Macaca mulatta: one gene and its partners. The protein of the gene in region 1 purifies or fractionates together with the protein of each later gene. This does not show direct contact. Links are inferred from orthologs where the notes say so. Each region holds a gene or a part of one and is shown in the gene's direction. Other genes may lie near its edges.

Evidence for each region.
Region 2: the proteins of XRN2 (region 1) and CDKN2AIP purify together in Homo sapiens (affinity purification with mass spectrometry; 4 studies listed by BioGRID and IntAct, with this or other methods). This does not show direct contact. The link is inferred for Macaca mulatta from reciprocal best matches to the Homo sapiens genes XRN2 and CDKN2AIP.
Region 3: the proteins of XRN2 (region 1) and CDKN2AIPNL purify together in Homo sapiens (co-immunoprecipitation; 6 studies listed by BioGRID and IntAct, with this or other methods). This does not show direct contact. The link is inferred for Macaca mulatta from reciprocal best matches to the Homo sapiens genes XRN2 and CDKN2AIPNL.

The regions. Positions count from the first base shown.
Region 1 is NC_133415.1:62,665,363-62,668,923, reverse strand, and holds part of XRN2 (5'-3' exoribonuclease 2), read left to right. Parts: intron 1-937; coding exon 938-1,076; intron 1,077-3,339; coding exon 3,340-3,405; 3' UTR 3,406-3,561. UniProt on the Homo sapiens protein: Possesses 5'->3' exoribonuclease activity. May promote the termination of transcription by RNA polymerase II.
Region 2 is NC_133410.1:191,890,353-191,894,540, forward strand, and holds the start of CDKN2AIP (CDKN2A-interacting protein), read left to right. Parts: upstream 1-1,352; 5' UTR 1,353-1,515; coding exon 1,516-1,787; intron 1,788-2,257; coding exon 2,258-2,388; intron 2,389-2,808; coding exon 2,809-4,148; 3' UTR 4,149-4,188. UniProt on the Homo sapiens protein: Regulates DNA damage response in a dose-dependent manner through a number of signaling pathways involved in cell proliferation, apoptosis and senescence.
Region 3 is NC_133411.1:143,328,326-143,332,421, reverse strand, and holds the start of CDKN2AIPNL (CDKN2AIP N-terminal-like protein), read left to right. Parts: upstream 1-1,260; 5' UTR 1,261-1,287; coding exon 1,288-1,526; intron 1,527-3,153; coding exon 3,154-3,253; intron 3,254-3,659; coding exon 3,660-3,738; intron 3,739-4,096.

The DNA.
Region 1 (3,561 bases):
ACTGGCGCATTTGCCTCTGTTTATTCTTTATAGTGCCTTCCATAAAATGGAAGTTATGGAAAGTGCCTTAAGGGGAAAGTCTTAAATGGTGATTGCCTTTAGAAGGTATATATCCTTGCTACATTGTTTATGTGACAGTTTTTAATTAAGTTATGATTTAGTACATTATACCTTTTGCTTTGCATCTGCAAAGTTAAAATAGGCACTTGAAGACAATTAAAACATTTCTTTCGACTAGTAATCTGGGACAGCAAACTGGGTTATAATAGCCGTTGAATCTGTGTTCCCATGTAAACTGTACACCAAATGCCAGTCAGCCCATGCCAATTAGTGCTCATGTTGCTAGGTCACCGTGGTCAATTGAAAGCTGCATCAATAGAACTTGAAAAGGTTTCCTCCCAATCAGACCTTCTGACATATTGAACAGAATAATGGATGGGAAAAAACAGCCAAGTCTCCTACCCTGGATTCAAAATACTCAGCAGTAAGAATTCATTTGCAACCTGCAATTAAGTAGAAAGAATGGATCCAAGAACGAGTCTGGACATTTTTGAAAATAAAGCCTCATTCTCCTGTCGTGTACATGTTTACTATTTGGATAGCATCTTAAATGTAGCCAACTTGGTGATCTTGGGTCTACATCTTTAAGTGACTAAAAAGGAAATTTCCCAATTGAAAATGAACAAAATAATTTTTAAAAGTCAGAACTTCTCAGTTGAGTTTAAACATCCATTGTAATAAATGCTCATGCTTCATGAAACATGTTAGATTATACTGGATATAAGGGACACAAAGGCCATTCTGATACTCTGTATCCCATATGATAAATCCAGGTAAATTGGATTGTACTAAAATTTGGAGATGATACCTGCCACTTTTAGGCTTTGTGCTGTATAGTAGGCATGGCTTCTGATGTAAACCTGGTACTTTTCTACAGAGGCGTTGGGGCTGAACCTCTGCTCCCATGGAACCGGATGCTGCAAACCCAGAATGCAGCCTTCCAGCCAAACCAGTACCAGATGCTAGCTGGGCCTGGTGGGTATCCACCCAGACGAGATGATCGTGGAGGGAGACAGGTAAATGGGTTGTGGGATGAAAAGCATACTGCTCACTTTATATTTCAGCAAGGCTCACAGGACTCCATATTTTCTTACCAACATTTCTGGAGAAGACACTGATAGAGTATCTTGGCTGAACTTTGGTCTGTCATTAAAAATGTATATGGGTTGAGTACCTGCCTCACTAAATAGGTTATATACCTTGAAGATGCCAAAGAATTTCTAACCCAAAAGCCCTTTAAATCATAGCAGTCAGTGATAATTAGTCCAAATGTAGTCAGTCACCAAAACATTGTTTTTTCTTTAAGGATATTGTTCTTTAGTAGAACCTAGATCCCTCATAATGGGTGATTTTCTGGAAGCTGGAAAGTAAGTCTACTTTTTCAGCTGTTGTCTTTTAGAAGTCATTTTAAAATGTCATTTTAGAAGTCTCCTGTCTTGATTCATCTGATATCCCTCCTCATAAATCTCTGCTTGATAATCTTCCACATATTTTTCTTCTCAATGTAAGCAGCTGTATCACTGAATGTCATAATTCCTAGACAAATTTAGTATATGTAAGCTTCAGTTCTTTCTCTTTACAGCATCCAATTTTAGCAGCATTTAAGACTGAGGTCTGTTTGACATAATTTCCTCCAGCAATTTGACAGCCTGGCCAGTATTTACATGCTCTTAATGGAATCCTTACTAGAGAACAAGATTGGAATGCTATGATTCAGAGTGTAGTGTTTATGGAGTTTGGCACCTGCAGTGATGTGAAGTGGTTTTTAAATTGCTTACCTGGTGTTGCCTCCAGGCCTTCTGCAGTGCTTCACATATTAATTAGTAAGACCTCTCTTCTCACAGCTAAGGAACATATTTTGTATACTTTTTTGATGTATTCTTACAAGTATCTCCACCTTACAAGAAGATAATCACCTTAACTGCAAATAGTTAATGTCTTCTGAGAGGATTTTTTTACAGTTTATTTAAATCAGTTTATAGAATTTTGCTTTGAATTATTTCAAACCAGGACCCCTCAAAATCACATCAGTGAATTAAGGCTCTTTATGTTACTGTGGTTAGATGGCACTAGGCAGTTTCAGTGATGAGCATTTTTGAAGTGAGGACATATTTGTAACTGAAAGAAACTTGGAGAATGTATAGTCTAGTCACCTCATTTTCCAAGTCAGAAACTGAAACCCTAAAAACCCCACACAGTTGGGCGGGAGAGCTGGGGGCTGGCTGCCTAGACTGCTGACCCCAGTTCATCCATTTTCCTTCCTCCTTTGGAGATCTTCCTTTTAAAGGAACTCTCTGCTATTGTAGGAGATAAAATTCTTATTTACTTAAAAGATATAAACTAATTGGTAAATTTATTATTCTTTTAGGACTTTTTTAAAATAACATTTCTTCTTTCTCAGTCTCTTTTCCACGGAGATACTTTTTATTAAACCACAATGTTTGAAGCACTATTAAATTGCAGAAGTCTGTTGTTAAAAACATAAAATCATTACTTCATTGTATGTTTAGTGAAGTTTTATATGACCAAACAAGGCCTTAGCCTACATTCTGGCTTTGAGTCTGCACATGTTCATATTTAAAGTACTGAAGTGCTCTCTGGGTGGCAAAATGAGGTGGGAGGGGGTTCCATTTCAAAACCCTAGAGGCCTAGAAAAGGACTTACAGTGAAGAGGTGTCAGGTTTATCTTTTGTTATACAGAAATGTTATTTGCAAGCATTCTAGGATATGTTTGTTATAAAGGTCATTGCTAATGGATTGTGTAATAACCTTAATATATCATTTAATGTCCTACTTTTTGTTGCTAAATAAAAAAATCCCTAAAATCAATTTGGCCTTAACTGACTTAGCAAGCTCTTGCCTTGTTTAAAGCAAAGTTACTTTCCTTGTGTAATAAGTCTAAATTGATGTGGGTATCTTACAACAAAGTGACTTGAATTACTACTGCTAGGACGGTGGGAAAATTGAGAACCACTGTCTGTACATGTTGTTTACACAAAACACTTAACTCTAGTGCATTTGTGTGCATTTGTGATTGTTAAGGTTTTTTTTATTTTTTTTTATTTTTCAGTAATAGCATTTGTGCTAGCCTCCAACTTTGCAACAAGTTTGTGTTAAAGCTCTGGATCAAAGCACCTGTTTATGGGACCTTTCCATGTGCTGTACCTTTAACACATACTCAGTTTCTTTATGATGTATTTTTCCATAGAAGTGTAAAATTAACTGACTTGCAGGAGTATCAGTCCAGAAAATAAACTCTTTTCTTTTGTTTATTTTCAGGGATATCCCAGAGAAGGAAGGAAATACCCTTTGCCACCACCCTCAGGAAGATACAATTGGAATTAAGCTTTTGTAAAGCTTTCCCAAATCCTTTCATCATTCTACAGTTTTATGCTATTTGTGGAAAGATTTCTTTCTCAAGTAGTAGTTTTTAATAAAACTACAGTACTTTGTGTATTTCTTTTAACTGTGTATATTTCTACTGATCTGATCTCACTGTTT
Region 2 (4,188 bases), on another chromosome or scaffold:
TCTGCAATCCGTCCACCCCCTCTAGATTTTCAGCAATTATCTGTGAAAAGGAGGAAGGAATAGCAAACTAGAAGCAAAATCATAAGCTTCAAAATTTCTTTGTGCCTCCGTTTTTATGCAGTTTCTTTTGGTATGGCAGGAAAATGGACAATATTGTTTTCATACAATAGCTGTATTTTGTTCCAGCATGCGCATAAATTACACAGTTAACCTTATCTGACCTTACCTAAAGCGACCTTTTTTGCTTGATTATTCTGATTCATGCATTTTTACATCAGTCTACATTTAGTGAAAGAAAAAATTCATAATTTATATCATTTAACGTATTAATCTTAAAAGTGCATGGATACCTGGAATGGAAAACGTAATAAGCAAGCTAGCAGTTAGAGTACTTAACTGTGGGAAACGTAAAGTGGAAAAAAATATATAGAAGGAAAATATAGCTCTAACAGGGAGAGGTTTGGGGCCCCATAAATAAATAGGCACATTTCCACTCCACCTCCGGACATCTGCCGGTTGGTGGTAAAGTTGCTGATTTTAGGAAATTCTAGAGACAGAACGTTGTCGGGGTGGTGGTGTGCTATTGACCAAAACAGGAAGGCAATGCCTGGATTAACTAGAGACCTAAGAAACTGCGGGAACAAGCGCAATCGCTGCGGGGCCAGGACTAGCTTCGAAGGCAGCAAGCCTCACAGCAACCCGGAGCCGGGTCCTCGTGTGACCTTGCTATGTAAGGAGACCGGCACCCTCATCCTCTTGACGGCGCCGAGACCCCGACGGCCTCGGAACGCTTCGCTCGGGCACACTGAAAGCAGCGCGAGACGCACTTCCCGACATTCTATAAACTTGGAGGCCGGCTTTTGTTTGTTTTGGCCCCGCTCACACACACACGCGTCTCAGAGCCGGGACCATAGGCCCCGCGGCTGCTGGCGGCTCAAGGTCCCCCGGGACGCCGCCCTGGAGGACTTTGCCCGCCGCGCCTGGCTGCCTCCCTTGCCGGGCCCTGCCCCTCTCGCCTCTGCTCCCGGCGCCGCAGCTGACCCGGCGCAGGAGGAGGGCGACAGCAGTGCGTGGCGTCACAAAGCGAGGCCAGAACGCCTGGGGTTCCGCCGCGACTCGGTCGTCCCGGGGCAGCCCGACTTGAAATCCGCCCTCACAGGGAGTGAGACGCCCGACGCCCGCTCGCCCCACCCTCGGGGTCCCCTCCGTGCCCTGACCTGGACGCAGCGTCGCGGCGGCCCCGGCGCCGCAAAGCGTCCTGGGAGCGCCGGCTCGCGTCGGAAGAACGCGAGGGCGCGCGGCGGCGGCGAGGTTATAAAAGGGAAGAAGCCGGCGGCGGGCGGAAGTGGGCGGTTCGGCTGCTCCGGGAGCTGTTGTTTGGTCTTTGGGCCTCTGGAGGGGCGTTATCTGGAGGGCCGCCGGTGCAGGCCGCAGTGACAGGGCTGCTCTCCCGGCGCTCCGTGCCAGTCTCCCGGTGCAGCTGTGCTCGCGGCCTCCGCGGCCTGCAGGCCCAACATGGCGCAGGAGGTGTCAGAGTACCTGAGCCAGAACCCGCGGGTGGCCGCCTGGGTGGAGGCGCTGCGCTGCGACGGCGAGACTGACAAACACTGGCGCCACCGCCGGGATTTTTTGCTCCGCAACGCCGGGGACCTGGCCCCCGCTGGCGGCGCTGCCTCCGCTAGCACGGATGAAGCTGCCGACACCGAGAGCGGGACCCGAAACCGGCAGCTGCAGCAGCTCATCTCCTTTTCCATGGCCTGGGCGAACCACGTCTTCCTCGGGTGCCGGTGAGTGAGGCAGCGTCCCTAACCAGCACGCCCCGTTTTGTCTGCCACCTGCAGACCGGCGCTCGGCGCCCTCCGCGGGACCGGCCTCGGCGGGGAGGGGAAGTTGTGAAGCGCGGGAATCTGCCGGCCCGGCTGCCCTCTAAGGGTGAGAAGGGTGTCGCTGCGAGGAGCCGACACGATTCCCGGACGTCTGTGTGCCCCGTGGTGTGGGGGGAGCTGCTGGTAGGGTTGCTGGTGTTAGGGGCAACGCTCTTGGGGACGGGTGCTAGATTTAAGGTTAGTGAGGAGGTGCCCTGCCTCGTAGACCCTGGGGCACTTGTTTATGGAGGTCCAGGAAACAGTTCTTGGCGGTTGGTACACTTTCTTGATTGCAGCCAGGAAATGCAGTTCCTGTGGCCTGTTTTTTGCAAAGCACAAATAGGACCTTAGAAAAAACACTTTTTTTAAAATGGCTTTTTCTTCTTTTTCAGATACCCTCAAAAAGTTATGGATAAAATACTTAGTATGGCTGAAGGCATCAAAGTGACAGATGCTCCAACCTATACAACAAGAGACGAACTGGTTGCCAAGGTGAAGAAAAGAGGGATATCGAGTAGCAATGGTTAGCAGATCATAGATGTGAACATACATAGGAGTTTAGAGCATAAGTTTGATATAATTAGGAATTATCATTATTAATTTTTTTAACAAGCCAGAATTTTTATGTTATCAATAAGTAATAAAGTTGGAATGTTAAACCTAAACTATGTATCTGTGTCTTTAGGCTTTGAATTTGATAGTTTGCTTTGACTGCTTTAGATTTTGAAGTGTCCACTGTTGTCTGATGCTGTTTTTTTTTTAAATATTAGACATTCATGATGTTATTCAACACTGTTTTAAGAAATTAATGACTCCACACTTTTTAAAGAAACGATTAGTCTTGAAATATTTTCACTTTGTGCCTTTATTTTAATGTGTATTTGTCTCACCCGTTTTATACGAGGTATTCTTAGTCATGTATCTATGTTTTTCTTCTTTTTAGAAGGGGTAGAAGAGCCATCCAAAAAACGAGTTATAGAAGGGAAAAACAGTTCTGCAGTTGAGCAAGATCATGCAAAAACTTCTGCCAAGACAGAACGTGCATCAGCTCAGCAGGAAAACAGTTCAGCGGGTACAGGGGCGGCCATCAAATCAGAGAGTGGGAACTCAGCTTGGAGCGCTGGCATCTCCAGTCAGAATAGCTCTACAAGTGATGGAGATCGATCTGTCTCCAGCCAAAGCAGCAGCAGCGTTTCCTCTCAGGTAACAACGGCAGGATCTGGGAAAGCTTCTGAAGCAGAAGCTCCAGATAAACACGGTTCTGCATCATTTGTTTCCTTGCTGAAATCCAGTGTGAATAGTCACATGACCCAATCCACTGATTCTAGACAACAAGGTGGATCACCTAAAAAGAGTGCTTTGGAAAGCTCTTCAGCCTCAGCTTCTCAAAGCAGCTCAGAGATCGAGGTGCCCTTGTTGGGCTCCTCAGGAAGCTCAGAAGTAGAATTGCCACTGTTGTCTTCCAAACCTAGTTCAGAGACAGTTTCAAGTGGGTTAACTTCCAAAACTAGTTCAGAGGCAAGTGTTTCATCATCAGTTGCTAAAAACAGTTCCTCATCAGGCACATCCTTACTGACCCCCAAGAGCAGCTCTTCAACAAATACATCGCTGCTAACTTCCAAAAGCACTTCCCAGGTGGCTGCGTCACTTCTAGCTTCCAAGAGCAGCTCCCAGACCAGTGGCTCACTGGTTTCCAAAAGCACTTCCTTAGCAAGTGTGTCCCAGTTGGCTTCTAAGAGTAGTTCTCAGACTAGCACCTCACAGCTGCCTTCTAAAAGTACTTCACAGTCAAGTGAGAGTGCTGTCAAATTCTCTTGCAAGTTAACCAATGAAGATGTGAAACAGAAGCAGCCTTTTTTCAATAGACTGTATAAAACGGTGGCATGGAAGTTGGTAGCTGTTGGTGGCTTTAGTCCCAATGTGAATCATGGAGAGCTTCTAAATGCAGCTATTGAGGCTCTGAAAGCAACACTGGATGTATTTTTTGTCCCACTAAAAGAATTAGCAGATCTGCCTCAAAATAAGAGCTCTCAAGAAAGTATTGTTTGTGAATTGAGGTGCAAGTCTGTGTATTTGGGCACTGGCTGTGGAAAAAGCAAAGAAAATGCAAAAGCAGTTGCATCAAGAGAAGCATTGAAGTTATTTCTCAAGAAAAAGGTGGTGGTAAAAATATGTAAAAGGAAATACAGAGGCAGTGAAATAGAAGATCTAGTACTCCTTGATGAAGAATCGAGGCCTGTAAACTTACCTCCAGCATTAAAACATCCTCAAGAATTACTATAATGTGTCCAAAATATCACTGCATACAATATCTGGTATTTGA
Region 3 (4,096 bases), on another chromosome or scaffold:
TACTGTACTTGAATGCTTCCAGGGATGGGGAATTCACCACTTTAAAGGAAGCTCTTTTGTCTCTCAGTGTGTCTGCTACCTGAGCCTAGAACAGACAGCCGAGTCATGCCAGCTAAATAGAAACTTTCAGGACTAGCCAGTCGCGATGGCTCACACGTGTAATCCCAGCATTTTGGGAGGCTGAGACAGATCACTTGAGCTCAGGAGTTCGAGACTCAGCCTGGGCAACATGGCGAAACCCTGTCTCTATTTAAAACCAAATCCAAACTTGCTCATTTCCTCTGGACACATTCTTTCTGACTCCTTCCAGCATCTTTTGTAAACCCAGGTGTCACTGTTCTGGTTAAAATCCTTCAGTGGCTCCCCATTCTTGGGATCTAGCCAGGATCCCTGCCTGGCCTACTGGCCTTGCTGACCTCTGCAACCTCATCTTCTCCATTCTCTACCTGCCCTGCCCCCCAGCCCCTCCTACCCCGTATCTTGCAATTCTCTTACCAGGCCATGCTCTTTCTTGCTCTGACCGACTCCCCTTTTCTCAGAAAATTGCTCATTCTTCAGTTCTCCAGGATCACTTCCCTGACCCCAAGACTAGATTGGGTCCCTTCCTTGCTTATTCATGGTTGTAGCACGCTGGACTTCTCTTTACTAGTACTTGTCAACGCTGAAATTCTCCACTTACTTGAGCAATTAGTTCACTAATGTCTGCTCCTCCACTCGATGGTAAAGTTCAGGCGAGCAGGGCTCCGAGTGTGCTCTCATTGCCTCTCCAGCACCTAGCAATGTGCCTGGCAAGTATTCACCGGATGGATGGATTACTCGCTCCAGGAAGGCGGGCCCCAACCTGCGTGGCTGTGGAGACCCCTGGAAGTGGACCTATCTATCCCTGACCCGGGCCCCCTGATATCCCTTAGGATGAGGCGGTGCCTGGGAAACTCCCAGGGCAAGAAAGATACAGCATAGCTCTGACTGGCATCCAGCTGCCAACTGGAAGAGGGCGCTCCGACTCTGTGCTTAGGGACCTCAGTTTTCCCACCGGTTCCCAGCAGGGTCGACCGCGAAGGGCCCTTGCAGCCCTGGGTAGACCCAGGGCATGCGCCGCGGGCTGCGGCGGTCTGAGGAGCCAGGAGCCGCTCTGTGCCCCCGCAGGCCGCCGCTCCGGGCGAGGGCGCTCCAGGCTGGTCTTCTGGAGCAGTCGTGCGCTGACGGGGCCCCTCTGGCTGGCAGGTGGTGGCGCAGTGCGCGACGGGAAGGCGGCGGGCTATCCGGTCTTCGGCTGCAGCGGGCACCATGGTCGGTGGCGAGGCGGCAGCTGCAGTGGAGGAGCTGGTCTCGGGGGTGCGGCAGGCGGCCGACTTCGCGGAGCAGTTCCGCTCCTACTCAGAGAGCGAGAAGCAATGGAAGGCCCGCATGGAATTCATCTTGCGCCACCTGCCCGACTACCGCGACCCGCCCGACGGCGGTGGCCGCCTGGACCAGCTGCTGTCCCTCTCCATGGTCTGGGCCAACCATCTCTTCCTAGGCTGCAGGTGCGGACCCCTGCCGGCCGGCTGATCCTGTCCCCTCTCTTCCGACCCTCAAGCCCTCTTCCAGGGCTCACCCCTGACCCGAACCTCTGCCCCAGACTGAACCCGCTCCCAACCTCCATCCGCATTGCCCGGCCCGAAGACTGATTCCCACCCTGAAGGCCCCTTGGAACGATCCTTATCTTTGAGCCTCAGTTTTCTCTTCTGGTAAAAGGGTGGTTATGATGACTGTAATAATTAAAGGGTGAAGAGCTAAATACATGGCGGGTTCAAAAGTTGCTATTGTTATATGTATTACTACCATTATTAGCTCAAACCATCACCTTTGCAGTGTGCATTCGAAGTCCGTTAGCCTCTGTCACCTACATGGCAAAGTGCAGAGACAGAAACGGAGATCCCCATTTTACAGATGAAAAAGCTTAGGGAGGGAAGTGATGTAACTAGGACCATGCAGCTTCTGGCAGGTTTGATGGATTTTAACCACTAATGACAGGATGTAATCTGTATCCTGTGCCTTTTTGTCCTCACTCCACAGCCCACTGGGTCCTAAGTAGGAACCAGCTTTACCTCTTTGTTTTCCCTCTTATGAAAATGACCGATGCCTTTTTGTCAAGGTCCCAAAGCCCACTTCATCCTGGCTGCTGCACCAAAAGGACAAAGACTCGCTTTTGAAGTGCCTGATAAGGCATTCCCTTCACCCCTCCATGAGGAAGGTGGCAAATCTTGAGACTCCCTGTTAGAGAGCCTCCATTTTCCTGAAATTGTGTTAGGAAAATAGGGTGACTTGGTTTGATCTTGGTTTCTATACCTATTATGGTTGCCTGACTCTGGTCATTTGGCCCCTCCAGGCCTAAGCCACTTGGTTTTGCTTCACATATTGGGGTTTATTAGAACAGTACGTAGGGAACCAATGCCAGAGGCACCCGTCCCTTTTCCCTGCCTTCTAGGTGCTCCTGGGAAATCCTGGTTTTCCATGGTTAGGCGAATGTCAGAGAATTGGGCAAATAAATAATGTTTTTGTTAGACTGACATTCCATGTATTTAAAAAATAAACAAAAATATTTTGGCCCTCATCCCGTATCTGAGAATATCTGTTGTTAGATGTACAGTGCCTCTGTTCTTCTAAATCTTGAAACATTTGCTCTACTGGTATTTATAAAGTCCACTTCTGTATCTACAAGCAAGAAGTGTTCACAGGACCAGGCGCAGTGTCTCAAGCCAGTAATCCCAGCACTTTGGGAGACCGAGGCAGGAAGATCACTTGAGGTCAGGAGTTCGAGACCAGCCTGGCCAACATGGTGAAACCCTGTCTCTACTAAAAATACTAAAATTAGCCGGGCATGGTGGCACATGCCTGTAATCCCAGCTACTCAGGAGGCTGAGGCAGGAGAATTGCTTGAACCTGGGAGGTGGAGGTGGCAGTGAGCCAAGATCACACCACTGCACTCCAGCCTGGGGGATACAGCAAGACTCCATCTCAAAACCTTGTGCTGAACATGTATAGGTTTGCCCTGCAGTATCAGATCAGTTCTCTGAGAGTTGATTTTATGGTTGAGCAACCTGCAGTTTCTTATTAATTCACAATGACAATTCTTCCGAGGTTTTTACCTTATTACTTTTTATTGTGCAGTTACAATAAAGACCTTTTAGACAAGGTGATGGAAATGGCCGATGGGATTGAAGTGGAAGACCTGCCACAATTTACTACCAGAAGTGAGTTAATGAAAAAGGTAAATAGGATTTCCAAGTGTATGTGATGAAATGGTGTAGAGTTAACAGTCCCTGCTTTGATGACACTATATTAGAGTATTGTTTTTGAGTGCTCTTGTTTACTACCCCAAAGACCTATACCTTTTCATTATTATTTCCCCATAATTGGTATAACCTTTTCATAAGTAGTTGACAACACATTGTGATAAATTATGCGTTGTTGATGAGGTAACACATAAGCTTAACTTCTTCTGGGTGATTAGGAACATTGTTTTGAGATTTTTGCTTGATGTTTAAAAAAATGTTGGCTAGAATACTTGTTTCCTACTTGTTAAAAAATCTTGTTGGTAATAGAGTAACTAACTCATCCTTACCCTGGCCGTGAGTGCTGACCTGACTAGTTTGGCTTCTCTGATTTGCTGATAGGAATGTGGCTGGAGCAATGTCGATACCATAGCTGTTCTCTATCCTGTGGGGTCTGATCTCAGGCGATGGATTTTTTACAGTGAGTCTTGCCTAGAGTCTTGAATCTGGATGCTGGAGCTGGGCCTATAGAGAGTGTGGCAGAAAGAACCTCAGAGTATGGAGCTGGGCATCCCAGCTATTAATACTTTACAGAATCACCCCCAATATGTACTTGTTTCACATTTATCTGCTCAGGCAGCAGAATTAATTGCTCGCTTATCTTCCAAAATTCCTTTGGCACTTTATCCAGACCTCTTTTAAAGCAGTTGTGACCTTGAGGGAAGAGATGGTGTCTAAAGTTTTATTTAGTCTTTAGTACTCCCAAACCTAGTATACTTATACCCCAGAGAAGGTACTCAGAAAATACTTATAAAATCGACTGAAGCAATAGAGTAAAA